2 linked regions of the Lonchura striata genome follow. The protein of the gene in region 1 purifies or fractionates together with the protein of each later gene. This does not show direct contact. Links are inferred from orthologs where the notes say so. Each region holds a gene or a part of one and is shown on either strand. Other genes may lie near its edges.

Evidence for each region. The genes of interacting proteins can lie anywhere in the genome.
Region 2: the proteins of STAT1 (region 1) and PIAS1 purify together in Homo sapiens (affinity purification with western blotting; 5 studies listed by BioGRID). This does not show direct contact. The link is inferred for Lonchura striata from reciprocal best matches to the Homo sapiens genes STAT1 and PIAS1.

Annotation. Positions count from the first base shown.
Region 1 is NC_134610.1:30,435,628-30,442,687, reverse strand, and holds the start of STAT1 (signal transducer and activator of transcription 1-alpha/beta), read right to left. Parts: upstream 3,012-7,060; 5' UTR 2,929-3,011; intron 2,740-2,928; 5' UTR 2,538-2,739; intron 530-2,537; 5' UTR 520-529; coding exon 392-519; intron 1-391. Other genes in the region: STAT4 (signal transducer and activator of transcription 4), read right to left, coding at 5,957-5,983. UniProt on the Homo sapiens protein: Signal transducer and transcription activator that mediates cellular responses to interferons (IFNs), cytokine KITLG/SCF and other cytokines and other growth factors.
Region 2 is NC_134613.1:23,417,060-23,424,737, reverse strand, and holds the start of PIAS1 (E3 SUMO-protein ligase PIAS1), read right to left. Parts: upstream 3,023-7,678; coding exon 2,894-3,022; intron 1-2,893. UniProt on the Homo sapiens protein: Functions as an E3-type small ubiquitin-like modifier (SUMO) ligase, stabilizing the interaction between UBE2I and the substrate, and as a SUMO-tethering factor. Catalyzes sumoylation of various proteins, such as CEBPB, MRE11, MTA1, PTK2 and PML.

The DNA of each region.
Region 1 (7,060 bases):
GGAACCTCAAAGTGACCCTGATGCATATGCATGTTGTACCACTCCTCAAAGAGAAGACACTCCACAGAAAGCCTGGCAGAAGTTCGGAGTCTTTGGGGAGTGAGAGACTGATGCTACCAAGGTTAGTAACTAATTGGTCTTAAAACAGCCACTTTTGTTCTGGACCACTGAGAGCATTATGAGCAAGGACACTAACTCCAGGTGTCAGGCCCCTCTAGAAAGTCCTAAAAGGAGCAGGAACACAGAGCACCCACACAGCTACTGAAGCATCCTACCAGCAAAGGATCACCTAGCAGCTTGCTTCCCCAGCATACTGCTGCTGCCTGAAACTGCACTTCTGAGGGCACTGCTTATCACACAACCCAAAGCCTAATTTAATTCCTTGGCTTACCAATCCTGGTTTTCCAGCCACTGTGCCAGGTACTGCCTGATCTCCATAGGAAAGCTGTCATCATACAGCTGGTGAACTTGCTCCAAAAACTTGGAATCCAGCTGCTGTAGTTGATACCACTGAGACATTCTGAGGAAGCTGTGAAAAAAAAGTCAGTGTTTAAGTAGTATTCAGACTGAACTGGTGAAAAATAACTAATTTTAAGTTTTAATGAACATTGACAAAATTGGAGGATGTGCTGATTTTGGCTGGGATAAAGTTTATCTTGTTCACAGTAGGTAGCATGGGGCTGTTTTGGATTTGTGCAGGAAGCAGTGCTGGTAAGACAGGGATGTTTTTGTTACAGCTGAGCAGGGCTTACACAGCATCAAGGCCCTTTCTGCTCCTCACCCCACCCCACCTGTGAGGAGGCTGGGGGTGCACAAGGAGCTGGGAGGGGACACAGCTGGACAGCTGACCCCAGCTGACCCAAGGGACATTCCAGACCAGGTGGCATCGAGCTCATAGAGCTGGGGGAAGGAGAAGGAGGCACAGGGGATATGTTACATGATGGTGCTTGTCTCCCCAAGCCACTGTTAGGCATGATGGAGCCTGGCTTTCCTGAGATGGCTGAACTCCTCCCTTTGGCTTTCCTGTGTACATGGCTTTTGCCTTTACCTGTTAAACTATCTTTATCTCAGCCCATGAAGTGCCTCACCTTTCTGATTCTCTCCCCATCCCACCATGCAGGGAGGAGGGGAAGTGAGTAGCTGTGTGGTGCTTCCTTTTTTTTCCTTTTCCTCTGAACCCATTTTCATGGCGTTTATGGTACTGCTAGTGTTACTGCTCTCTTGTTTAGCACATATGGGAATGAGGACCTCTGTGTTTGATACCTGTACTCTGCATAATTGAGATCCTGATCACGGAGTATCACCTTTTGCTTGTGCAGATGCATTCCCCAGCACCAAAAGTGTGAGTGTACAATTAAAGAGCCCTCTAAGTGCCCATTTTCAGTTGCTATTCGTGTCCACACTTGCCTGCTCTGAAAATGGACTACATCTCAAGTTACCTTAAATGGAGAAGTACTGGAAAGATATTTTTTTCGGCATTTGAGTTCTCATGATAATATTTTCAGGCTAAATTCAAGCAACCTGTGCAGCAGATAGAGGGTGCTTAAATGAACTAAGACTGTGCAGAACGGCTTCTCTCAGTCCTAACACTTTTGTGAGAGTGGCTTCAGCTCTGACGTATGGTCTCTAGAGGCAGATCACTTAGCCTTCTAAGCTGCAGGTTATCAGCTTGTAGTGGAAATGGCATGTAAAGATATGCCAAGGAACAGCCCAGGCTGAGAATATGGGTGATGAGATGCAAATCCACTCACATCTTTGTTTTTTAATGACTGCTTATAAGACCCATCCAAAAGAACAGGCAGCATCAGGATGAAGGACTGTCTTCTATGCCCCTTCCTACCAAATCCTTTTGTTTTTATATGCCAGTGCCCTCAGCTGCTGAGTGGCATGTGCTAGGTGTGAGAAGCAAAGGAATTAAAAATGCTATGTTTAAAGTGAGGGCTTTGAGGCTTTTGATTTGTGTGCTTTTCAGATTACAGCTAACACAGCATTTGAGTGTGCTATAGCAGTCCCAAAGAGGGAGGTCCATGACCTCCCTGGGCAACCTGCTCCAGTGCTCTGCCACCCTCAGTGTAAAGTTCTTCCTCATGTCGTGGTGGAACTTGTGTTCATGTCCACTGCTCCTCATCCTGTCAGTGGGCACCAATGAAAAGAGTTTGTCACCATCTTCTTGGCACCTGCCTTTGAGTTATTTATATGTAATGATGAGATCCCCTCTCAGTCTCTCTACTCCAGACTAAACTGTTCCAGCTCCAGCTCCCCTTGTAAGAGAGTGCTCCACATCCCTCATCATCTGTGTGACCTCTGCTGGACCCTCTCCAGTCGCTCCTCGTGTTTTTTGTACCGAGGAGCCCAGACCTGGGCACAGCACTCCAGATGTGCCTCACTAGGGCAGAGCAGAGGCGGCTGATCACCCCTCTCGACCTGCTGGCCGCCCGATGCAGCCCAGGACTCCCTCCTGGCCCTCCTCTACCTCCTCGCCTGCCATGGCCGGGGGCCGGCCCGGTGCCCGCGTTCCCCGGGAGGGAGCAGCGCACCTGTTCCGCGGCGGCTGCCCCGCGGCGCCGGAGGAGCGGGATCACCGGGATCAGCGGGATCAGCGCCGTGCTGGGCACACGGGCCCGCTTCCAGCGCTCCGGGCAGCTCTGCAGACGCGTCGGAGAGGGTGAGCTGCGGAGAGCGAGCAAAGAGCCAGGCTTGAGAGCGGATGCGACAGACGACAGAGCAGCCGGAGCGTCCCTGTCAGGAATGAAGACGGCTAGCAGACACCTCTCTTTCCCCAGGGCAAGTACACCAAAGCGCAAAACTCGGTGGGCGTCCCGCGGGCAGGGGCAGTCTGAGGAAGCGACAAGCTTTCGTTTCACCGGGCATTCCCCCCGCCATCCCCCGGCCCCTCACGCCCGGGTCCCTCACGCCCGCTCCCCTCACCTCGGCTCCGGCTCGGCGCTGCCGCGGCGCCGGCTGCGCTCAGGGAGCCGCGCGCGCATGCGCGGGGGCGGGCCGGGGGCGTTCCCGGGCGGCGGGCACGTCACGTGACTTCTGGGAAAGGCGGCGAAGGCGAAAGCGAAACTAGTGCGGGGCCCTGAGGGCGGCGGGGCGGGGCGGCTGCTGCTGCTGCTGCTGCCCTCACAGAGCCGCCGCTTCCTGCCCGCCCCAGCTGCCCTCACGGAGCCGCCGCTTCCCGCCCGCCCCAGCTGCCCTCAGGGAGCCGCCGCTTCCCTCCCGCCCTGCCCGCCCCAGCGCCGACAAACTGCAGGAGGCTGAGCGCTGTTCCCATCCCACCCCAAGCCCTGCTCGCAGGAATAGTGTCCATTCATGTCGTTGTCTGTTGGTCCAGCGTAGCCTTTTTGGGTTTTTTCTGGTGTTGGAAGCCGGCAAAGAGCGGATGCTGAAGGCCAGGCTTTGCTGCAGCTCTCCAGGGTAGTCTGTGCCCCTTCCCTCCTCAGATGGAGGAGCCAGGTGTTATTACTTCATGACAAAAATAGTAGATCTGTTTGGTAAGCTTCGTGGTGTGAAATACTAGGCAGCAGTAGATCTATAAAAATGGCTATGAATAAAAGCAATGGAAGAAAGTAACTGACAGGTTTCATGTTTTTTAATTAGGATCATTACAGCGTCACACCAAGACAAAGCCTAAAACAATTACATTTTTACTTTGTTGCCGCAAAACACAGCAAAAGGACAGTTAGTAGAACTACTTAAAAGCAAATTTTTTTTTTTTGGTGGTAGTATCTAGGCATCCCTTTTTTGTGATTTTCCTCCACACCATCGTTTCACTGGAGAGCTGTATTCTTACTCATCATGGCATAAGGACAAAATTCTCACTTTTTTAAAAGGAAGGAGGCTTGGTCTGTATGTATTCATCCTACAGATAAATTATTCCAGTGTTCCTTTAAAGCAGTGAAATGATCTCAAGGCGGATCTTTTCAACAAAATGTTAAGTTGACCCTATGCAGCAATCTGATCTGAAGCAATAGCAGGAGCTGTCATGCCAAAATCTGATCCATGATGCTGTTCAGAAACACCAGTTATGTTGGGCTGAAGTTAATACTTGAGAGTTTTGGAGGGTTGCCTTGCATAGAGAACAGGAAAGAAAGAAAAAGGAGACTGGTTTGCACGCCATGTCTGATCTTGTCTTACAGTGCTTCTCATGAACTTCAGATGGTCAAAACTAAAAGGTATCCCCCGTTTTGTTTGTATTAAGATTATGGGAAGAGGTTAGAATGAAAAGGCACGCAACAGCTGATGTTAGGGGAGGTCATGTTTCCTGCTTTAGAATTATGTGTTACTGTCTGTAGCTCAGTTTAAGGTCAACCAAAAGGCAGCAAGACTGTTTTTGCTGTGCCTTGAAAAAAAATCCGCAGAGGTCCGGATGCAACTTGAAGCCAAAATCTGATTTTGTTCATGCTGGTTATATAAGTTACAGATACTACCAAGCTATATACAGAATTGCTCTTGTGTTTTATTTTATACGTGATGCTTACTGAACTTACGTGCAGCTTGCTTTGAATCACTCAGTGTAATGAACAGAGATGCGTTTGTTTCTTTGAAATCTACTTCTGTGCATCACAAAAATACCTCATTACTTTGTTTCCGCTCACTCACTCTCAACTAAAGTAAATAGCATGGATGAAAGAAGAAATGAAAGTAAATCTATGTCTTACCGATTCAAGGAGTTTTCATCACAGAAGTCTCATTTATACCTGCTTGAGAAAGCAGCAAGGTGCAATTGTTCAAGTTTTGTGTTTTAAGAACTTTGCATGCATTACTCATGTGTTCTTCAGGCAAGGCTTGCATCCTGATTGTACATGGATTTGTGAAATACAGTGGCCTTGGAGTTGCCAGTTTGTTATTCTATGAACAGCGATTTTAGGGGTAACTCTGGGGGAAATAAAACTAAAACAACAAAACCAAACAACCCAAACTGAGCAGTAAACACACCTGAAAGAAAAAAACGGAGTATTTAAAGAGGGCAATTTACTATTTTTACAGAAACTAGTTGTCCTGCTTATTAAGTGAGGCTGTGACGGGCCTGTAATATCCTGTCACGGAGCACAAATTTCCAGGTGGTCAGCAAATGCTGCAGCTCTTCAGTAACTGTTTTTTAAAACTGCTTCCCTGTTGCCATTGACTGATTAGCATCCAAACTGTGTCAGATCAGGATCTTCTATTTGTAGACTTTCTAACAATTTTTGCTGGAGTATCTCCTGCCCAAACAGATTTGCTTTTGCAACTATTTTGTGAGAGGGGAAGTTTTACTTACTCTCTTTTCCAGTGGAGAAATGGAGACAGCATTTCTAACACCACAAGTTTTATATCTGCTTCCTTTCTGGAACTCCCTTCTCTCCCCAGCCTTCCCTACCTGCTTTCCACAACTTCTGCTGTGGTATCAGATAAAAATCTATCTTGAAGGCAATTCATCTTTGAAGTAAAGCAAACCCCAGATACCTCTGGAACATTCAAAGTCAGGGAACAAAAATCTTTACTTTGAAATAGTATCTAAATCAGTGGTGTATAAGATTATGCATAAGCAGAAAGTATTTAATATAATAGATCCTAATTTCTCCAAACACATTAATGTCTTTAGTTATCTTTATATACTGTCTTCAGAAGCAAAACATTTTGTTCTTATGCATTCGTATTTACAGCAATTCTATGGAAATTAGTTAAATTAGCAAGTAAAAGTTATCTCTGCTGGGACCCCACTGAAGTCAAATGACTCCCAAGCCAGAAAGGATTTGGTCTTTTTTCAATGACAACACCAAATGTGACTTGCAAAAGGCTGTTTGTATTCCCTAGGGAGAAAATTCATTGTTTATGTGTTATTGATAATAGAAAGAGGCCTAAGAATAACATCATGGTTTCCAGAAAAGCTGACTTTCAGAGGTGACAGGATTATGACTTCTTTAACCCATCCAATGTTCCCACAATTACTGATTTTTCTAGTATGTGCGCTTCAGTCAGTTGAGTAAGGAGAACTCAGCTAGAAGAAAAGAAGGACAGAATTAGTCTCATGGCACTCACAGCTATTCATTCAAAAGAAACTGCAAATGAAACTTTCTCTGGCTCTAGGTAACTGCAAAGTCACTTTGACAATGTCATAAAAACTGATAAGGATCTGAAATCCTGATTCTAGTTGTTTAGAAAATAGAAGAATGCTCTTTAGAAGATACTGTGTAGAAAACTATTGCAATAATAATAAGCATGGTATTTATTTTTGTATAAACTTTTGTGGTTCTTGAAGCCTGTGGATATGTATGTCAGGGTTCTTCCTGGAGTCTTGTTTTTTTTGGATGGGTAATGGAAGCTGGACAGGGTGGAGGGAATAGAAGGGAATTCAGCAAGGCTGCAGAAAGTATATCTTGCTAAGACTGAGTCAATTGCAGGATATTTTGTCCTGCTGCAGATTTAACTCTTGTTTTCTGTATCTCACACAATGCTTTTTTATTGGCATTTCACGAAGAAAAAGTATTGCATTAATAGTGCAGATTGTCTTCTTGCTATACTAAGCCAGCTCTTCAGCAGGGTAGATTGTTTTGTGAATTTGATAAAGAAAAAACCTCCATATTTCCTTCATTTCCATTTAGCAAGGTCAATTGAATTGAAAAGGAAAGAATTCTTTAAAAATCTTCTAAAACTATTTTTTCTCATGCAACTTCTAGCAGAACTTGAAAACATTTCTAGTAAGAGCCTACAGAAATACCACTTGCCATCTAGCAGCGTTGAACCATTCATCTTGGTACCTTTAAAATTGTATTTAACACTTTCAGTTTGCAACTAGGCACATTCATTTTGTCAGGTTATGACCCTGAATGATGGCCATCGTCACAGCTTATTTTGAAGCTCTGAATGGAGCTAATCTGAGATTTACTGTGCATGCAAGAAGAAACCAAAAATGTTTGGAGGTTGATGTTAACTGAAAGTGAATCCATTTATTCTTTACTCTGACGAAAATTCAGGAAAGCAAATGTGTGCATTGTTCCTAAGTGCACTTGAGGAGGCCAGAACCATTTCCACATGTTATAAACCAAAACAGAAATAAGAGAGTACATCTCTTGGA
Region 2 (7,678 bases), on another chromosome or scaffold:
TAATAACCAATTTAAAGAGATGTAAGAAATATTGAAGGAAAGATTTAATCACTCAAGTATACTCCTTCCAATTAGAAAGAGCTTTAAATAGCTTACCTTGAGATAAATTAGAGTCTGGGTGCAATTAGACAGGAATAGTAATTAAGATCAGGAAAATTCACATACGCCTCAGCCTATGGAGTGAGGGAGAACTCTGCAGCAGAACAAACTTTGCAGTTACCTTGTTTCAGCAGCAGAAAGGAAAACATCCTGCTTCAATTTACCCCAACCTTCCCAGTCCCAGGAATTCAGGAACCTCACCAGGCCGGGATCTGCAAAGCCAGGTTTCACCTTATCTGATTTTTTTTTTTTTCCCCTCCACAGAACAAACAAAAATGGGGGCAAAAAAGGCTGAAAGGCCCTCGCTTGTGGTAAGGAAATAAATTAGAGGAAAGGCAATTTCATGATTAAAACGCCATGAAAAATTGTGGCAAGTAAGACTGACCACTGTTTTTCTGAGGGAGCAACAACTTTAATTTTCCTTTGGCGATAGCACCCATCATATCACATTCCCTAATTTCCACATGTCACATTCCCTAATTTCCCCATACATAGCCCCAGGGTTCTCTGCACAGGAAGGCAACAAAGTTTTAGAAACTTGAGTAAGTTTTTCTAACAAACTTTTTCTGGCCAGGCAAAAGAGTCCCTGCCCAAGTATTACAGTTGATTTTAGTTTTTTAAAGTCACTAAATCTGAAATCAATCCCATTTGCTAATTAATCAGAGGAGAACCGTGCAAGGTTTTACCTAAGAAAATAATTAAAGGAATTCACTGGTCATTCTTCAAAGAGCAGAGTCTTAATCACAAACCGTCCCTTAGCTACTTTCAACTCCCAAAAAAAAGAACTTAAAAGCACGTTTTCTGGGGATTTACTCCTTTTTAAAAAATCCCCAGTGTCCCCAGCCACGATGTCAGAGCTTTCCACATTTTTCTGAGGAGCTCCTGCAGCACCTGAGAGCCTGGAGAGCTGCAGGGTGACAGCTCCCAGCCCAAGCAGGAGATTCTGTGTCCCCTCTCCTTCCTGACGGAGCGGCTCCCACCCACGCAGCTTTTTAATTCTGTACAGTCTAAAGACAAAAAAAAAACAAACAAAAAAAAATCAGAATGTCCTGAGGTCTTCCAAGCATGAATTTATGAAGTAATTACTTTTTTGTTAAGCAAACTGCCAAGCTCCCGTGGCTGCAGAAAAAAAAAATGCCCAACTTTTCACTGCCATCCTCCAGTCCCTGCCTGCAAGTACCACTCCAGCCGCAACCTGAGCAGAAAACTGAAACTGAGAATAAAACAGCAACTTTGGCATTCACCCTCCACATCCCTGAGGCAGCAACAGCACTTTACGAAACATAAATTTTAAAAACTCTGATTTTTCTCTACCGGTTCTCGAGAAGGAGACTTCTAACAGTGATCAATGAAGGGGTTTGGAATGACTTTATTCCCTATCTCCCATCTCTTTGAACTCCCTTTGAGTCACTCTTGCTAATAAAGGCATCACGTAAAGCCAAGCTGGCTGCTGTGCACCACCAAACTCTCGCTGCTACTTACCAAAACACACTATTCCATTTGCCACGCTAAAATTGACAAAAACTTGAGCACTGGAATCACATCTTAACCCTCTGATCTCGTTATGTGGGAAGCAGAGCTTGAAAAGAAAAAAGGCTTAAGGACTACACAGCTCAAGCAATACAATGTGGTCTGAAGACACGCAGAAAAACGAAGGCCAGAGGAGGATTTAAAGGAGGATCTGAAGGGTCCTGACCCACACAAGTCAGAACACACCGAAGATTTAATATTTCTTAACCCGCTGACAGCTCCTTAAGCATCTAAAAACGAAAGCGCACGGTACCTTTGATAGTCAGAAAACCGAGATCTACCAAACCTCTAGGAAAAGACCAAATATTTCCTTAGTCATACCCGAGCCATTCCGTAGTTTATGTTACACGTTTAACACGCCTGTGCCCGTACCCATTTCAGACCCACCTGATTCCAGCCCTTCACTCCGCGAACTTTACAGGAGGAGGAGGAGGAGGCAGGAGCCCTCCCGGTGAATAAGGAGCCTGTGAAAAGTGCGAGGAAACTCCGCAACTTTTCACACCCTGCAGGGTGTGCGGGGCACAAAGTTTCGGGGGGGTCTTTCCCTGGGATTTTCGGGTGGGTGCCTACCACCCTCTACCCTGCCACCGCTCTTCCTCAAAATCGCTTTAGGAAAGCCCAAGTTCCGCGTCGGGCAGAGCGGGAGGAGCTCCTTCCCTCCGGGCTGAGCGCCCGAAAAATCCCCCCAAATCCCCCCCGAAACCGCCCCGGGCGGAGCGGCCGCCGGCCGGGCGGCTCGGAGCGCCCCGTCCCCCCGCGTTCCGCAGCATGACAGGGACCGCCGCCAGCTCAGCGCCGCGGAACTCCTCCACATCTGCCTGTGACGTTCTTTATTTACCGGCGGGCCGCGCCGCCGCCGCTGTCACCGCCGCTGCCGCTCCCGCCGGACTCCCCTCGCAAACTTCGCGGGGCGCCGCGGCGCCGTCCCCCCCGCCGGCCCCCACACCCCGCGGGGGGCTCCCCGCGGCCGCCGCCCTCACCCGCGGCGGCGCCGCCCGGCCCGGCGGCCGCGGAGCGGAGCCGCCCGCGCTGCCCCGGCTGCCGGCGGGGCCGCCCGGCGGAGCGCGGCCGGCGGAGTGTGTGTGTGGGGGGGTGCGGCGAGAGGAGGCAGCTCCGCGCTGCGCTCCGCACCCACCCCGCCTCTCAACCCGCGCTGCCAGCGCGGCCCCGCCGCGGCCGCTCCGGCGCGGCTCATCCCGCCGCGGGCCGCCGCCGGCCGCGGCCCCGGCGGCGCCGCGGGGGGACGCGGAGAGCTGCGCTTTACCTTTAGTTCCGCACTGTCCGCCATCTTGCGACTCCGCGCGCAGGCGCAGTGAACCCCGCCGGGACGCCGCCGCCCCGCCGCCGCCGCCCCGCCCGCCCGCAGCGCGCAGCGTTTGAATCGCGGCGCCATTTTGTGCCTCCTCCGGCCGCGCCGCTCCGCGCCCTCACGCCGGGGCTGCCGCTTCGCCGCGGCTCCCGGGGCCGCCCCGCGGGGCTGGAGCCTCGCCCTGCCCGTCAGCTTCGCCCTGCCCGTAGAGCTTCGCCCTGCCCGTAGAGCTTCGCCCTGCCCGTCGAGTTTGGCGCTGGTGGCGGCGCTCCGTGAGGGGAGCGCGTCCCTGCGGGCGCCCCGGCTGCTCCCCTCAGCCCCGCGGCGCCACAGGCAGCGCCTTCCTCCGGTGGTAAATGCGGTTATTAACACGGGACCGTGCAGCTGCGGTGCGTGAAACAACGCCGATCACCGCGTTTTTAACAGTTTTAGAAGTTTGGTCATAATAAAATTATTATTAAAATAGTAATATAATTAAAGTGTGAAAAACGCTTGGTTTTTAAGATTTTTTAGAAGTTTAATAATAATAAAATTATTATTAAAATAGTAATGTGATTAGAGTGTGAAAAAACGCCAATCACCTGTTTTTTTTAATTTTTTAGTTTAGTAATAATAAAATGATTATTAAAATAGTAATATAATTAAAGTGTGAAAAACGCTTGGTTTTTAAGATTTTTTAGAAGTTTAATAATAATAAAATTATTATTAAAATAGTAATGTGATTAGAGTGTGAAAAAACGCCAATCACCTGGTTTTTTGAATTTTTATGTTTAGTAATAATAAAATGATTATTAACATAGTAATATAATTAAAGTGTGAAAACTGCTTGGTTTTAAAGATTTTTTGAAGTTTAATAATAATAAAATTATTATTAAAATAGTAATGTGATTAGAGTGTGAAAAAACGCCAATCGCTTGGTTTTTAAATTTTTTTTTAAGTATAGTAATAATAAAATCATTATTAAAATAGTAATATAATTAGAGTGCGAAAAACGCCAATCACTTGGTTTTTAAAATCTTTTAGAACTTCAGTAATAATAAAATTATTATTAAAAAAAAATTATTAGAGTAATAAAATTTAGAGTTAGGACAAATGCAAGACAATAAAAAGCAAAGAATTACGGATGTCTGGATGCTCTCGGACACTAAGTCACAAAAAAGCAGACTTTGTGAACAAAGGAATAACCATAAAAGCAACAGCCTGTTGCATATTCATGTATCTCATACATGATGCATAAATTCTTTGCAAATTAAGAACTTTTCTCCTTAAGGTGGAAGAATGTTTGTTTTTTTCTGAGAAGGAGGAACTTTGTATGGGCCCCCTTCGCTGCCATCTCTGTGTGAAGAGTTTCTCGATTATCTCATCCTCCTGCTTGAGCTTGTAACAAATCCTGTATCACAGAGTTTCTATTTTAACATTGTGTTGTAACCTAAAACTGTATTTAACACGCCACTTAAGAGAATTAATACAGCAGAACTTCCTAATGTTACACATATAATATTCATTGTAACATTTGCGAGAAGCCAATCATAAAATACACATTTTTCACAGATTTTTGCTACTTAATGCACAGGTTTGAGACCTCTAGGAGTGGAAAGGGATGAGGCCGGGGTACCTCAGTGGACACCAGCTCCTGGTGTGCACCAAGCTGGAAATTATCAGTTTTTCAGGAAATTACAAGTTTTATTTCAGGGAATTTAAAGTAACAACAGATTTGAGGTCCAAATGCACCCATTTCATGTCAGTTTTGAGTGAAATTTGTGTTCTTCCAACAGCAAGCCAGAGGGGAAAATACCTACCAAAATCCTGCCTGGCAAGATGATGCATCAGTTGTGAATTTGGGAGGATTAAACGTTAGTGTTCAGGTCATTATAGCTTGATTCAGCTTCTTTCTACCTGGGTGTTATTCCCCAAATATTGATCACCATGACAATTTCTCTCCTTGGCCTTCACCTTAATGCACAGAACGGAACAAAGAACAAAATTTCCACTTTTTCCATAGCTGCCGTAAAATCCATCATCCTCCATTCCCAAAGCACTTAGAGGATGGGCACTGAAAATAAAATAAAGATTTCATGTCCCAACTCTGCAGATTCAAGCAAGGAGTGCAGGGAACCTGGGGTAATTACAGAATCAAAATTTATAACATTTGCCTCAGAGGGTTACCCAGGATTTAAAATTAAGTGGTTTGTGTTGAGGGAAGAATGGGAGAGAGGTGTCAAAAGTGTTTAAGGAGCTTTTTGATGCAATGCTGTTTATTGGTAAGAATATTTATGTGCAGTCCTGAGGAAAACAACTCCTAGTAAAGCAGGGATGAGAATGGAATGGTATCAGGATGTGTCACATTCCATCAATCCATGACAAAACTGTATGGATTTTGACCAAGGTGGACAGGTCACGTATACTTAACCTAGAAAGAGAACACATATAAATTATATGAGCATACATAAATAGATGAACATATATAAAAATAAATATATGAACGTATATATAAATGATACGTGATTTTTGATGGCATCATGTTTATGGTGAGCATATATAAAGTCCTGATACGCCCAGCAAAGCAAACAACTCATATCTCTTTCCAAACTTTCCATTTCCAAGCGTTTCACCCAGAAACATCCTCCAGACTGGCAGAAAATCGGGGGAGCTGACACCCCTCTTTCTTCATGCCTCATCCCAACTCCATCGGTGGCCCCGCTCTCCTGGATCCTGCCACACTCAGGAAACGAGCAGCAATTAGAGGAGGCTGATGAGCACACCCGGACAATCCTGCGTGCAATGAAGATTTCTCTCCGCGTCTGAAAGGCTGGTTTGGGGAGGGGGCAGGGTGAGACAGCTAAAAAAAAATAAAATCAGATGACTCCAGCACGCCCACAGCTCCCAGAATTAGCCCATCTATTTCAGTGGTCTGAGGCAGCCCAGTGCAGAACCCTTAATTTGAAATTATTAAATACGTGTCATAATCGTCATCTAACATGATCAATGAGTTCATGGCGAGCTGAAAGAATTCGGCCTTAAAGCTCTGTAATTGTGTGGAGAAAAATCCTTGCTTTATTTCAATTACTTTTGATTTTTTTCCCCCCCTGAATGAGGCTGCTGCACAGCCAAACAGCTTTTCCTCTGCTTCTCCACTTCCTACCAAATTCAGTGGGATGTGGACGTGTGCTCCGAGTGTTTTGCTAAATCATGGCACAACACTATCAAACTTGACACGTGGCCATAAACCACAGCGTCCTCTCTCAAAACTGCCTTCAAATAAAACAGCCCCAGAATGGCTTCGGCTGCATTAAAATAAGGAAGCGAACTAAAAAAGGGGATACAGAAAATCGGGTTTAAAATGCTCCTGCCGGTGTTTTTTACAGCCAAACCTCGCCCAGGCTCTTCATTTTTTTTTTTTCAGTTTGGGCTTTTTGATAGTCACTCCCTTTTCAGTGCAGAATATACTGGAGGATGGAGAAGGAACTTAATGAGAAAAACAATCTGCGCTTCTATTTTTAGGCCATTATTTACATGTAGTGAAATTTTGTTCCTCTCTGCTCCCGAGGCTCGGCTGATGGTTTATTGCCAAAAAAAGCCTTTGTCAACACTCAGTCATTTCCAGAGGTGCTCGCAGTGGCTCCAGCTGTGGCAGTCATGGCAGCACTCAGATCTTAAAAATTAAATTAAAATTAAATCTTCAATTTTTCTCTCCATTTCCAAAAGAAAATACTGGGATGCAGCTGGAGTAAGGGAGAACAGCCCCAAACAATCCTCAGGTTGTCTTGCTTCTGAGCTAAAGCTAATATTTTTTTGAGCTTTGACCTCTGCGGAGAGAGAAAATGAAAGATCAAGATTTCCCTCAAACCTCCACAATTTTGATATTTTCAATTCCCAATTTTCCAAAGTTGTGTTTCCCCCTTTTGGCCGCATCGCAGTAAAATAAATGACTTGAGAATTTGTCTCTTACCCCCCCATTTCTTTTATTCTCCTCTTCTGTAACTTCCCCAAAAACGTATCGTGTCACATAACTCACATGCTCAAAGCCATGTTCAGACACAATAATATTTTTAAAGATATGCATTTTTTTCTGTGAACATGTTGTTTTCATTAGTCCGAGTAGCCAAGAGTTTCTCCTCTTTGTCTAATAATCCAAATTTGCTCTTTGCCTAAAAGTAACACAAGGGCATTTCTGAGCCTGAATAAAACTGATTTAATGATAGACTCTCAGCTATTATTTCTTGATAGAAAACACGACCAAGCCACTAAAATACCTTTACTGCTGAGGCTGTTGCAGGCATGAAATGTGTGAAACACCCTTTTCTGAGGGACAGAAAGAGAAATATTTTAGTGAAAACTACTTGGCTAAAGGAGGAGACAATGGAGTAGCCAATATCTGATTTAAAAAAATACATTTTTTAACTTTATAACAACACATGTGCTGAGCAGGAAGTTGGTGTGTAGCGGGCTGGCACAAACATCTCCCCAAAATCTGCATCCAAGAGCAATATCAGCCCAAATCAGACAATAATTTGTACAAGCTGGGCCCAGACGAGGAATGTCAGAATCTGAGGTATTGATCATTCTGAGATTGTAAAAGTCTCTGTCTGTCAGCCCCGCTGCCAAAGCAGAAGCCATAATTGGTCTGTGCTGGTTTCCAGGTTGTTTATTCTGTTGATCTCTCACATGTTCTGCTGCCCTGCCCAGCTCTGTCCTGCAGGGCAGCGTGTGGGGCTCTGCCCTCAGTGGGATGTGACAAAC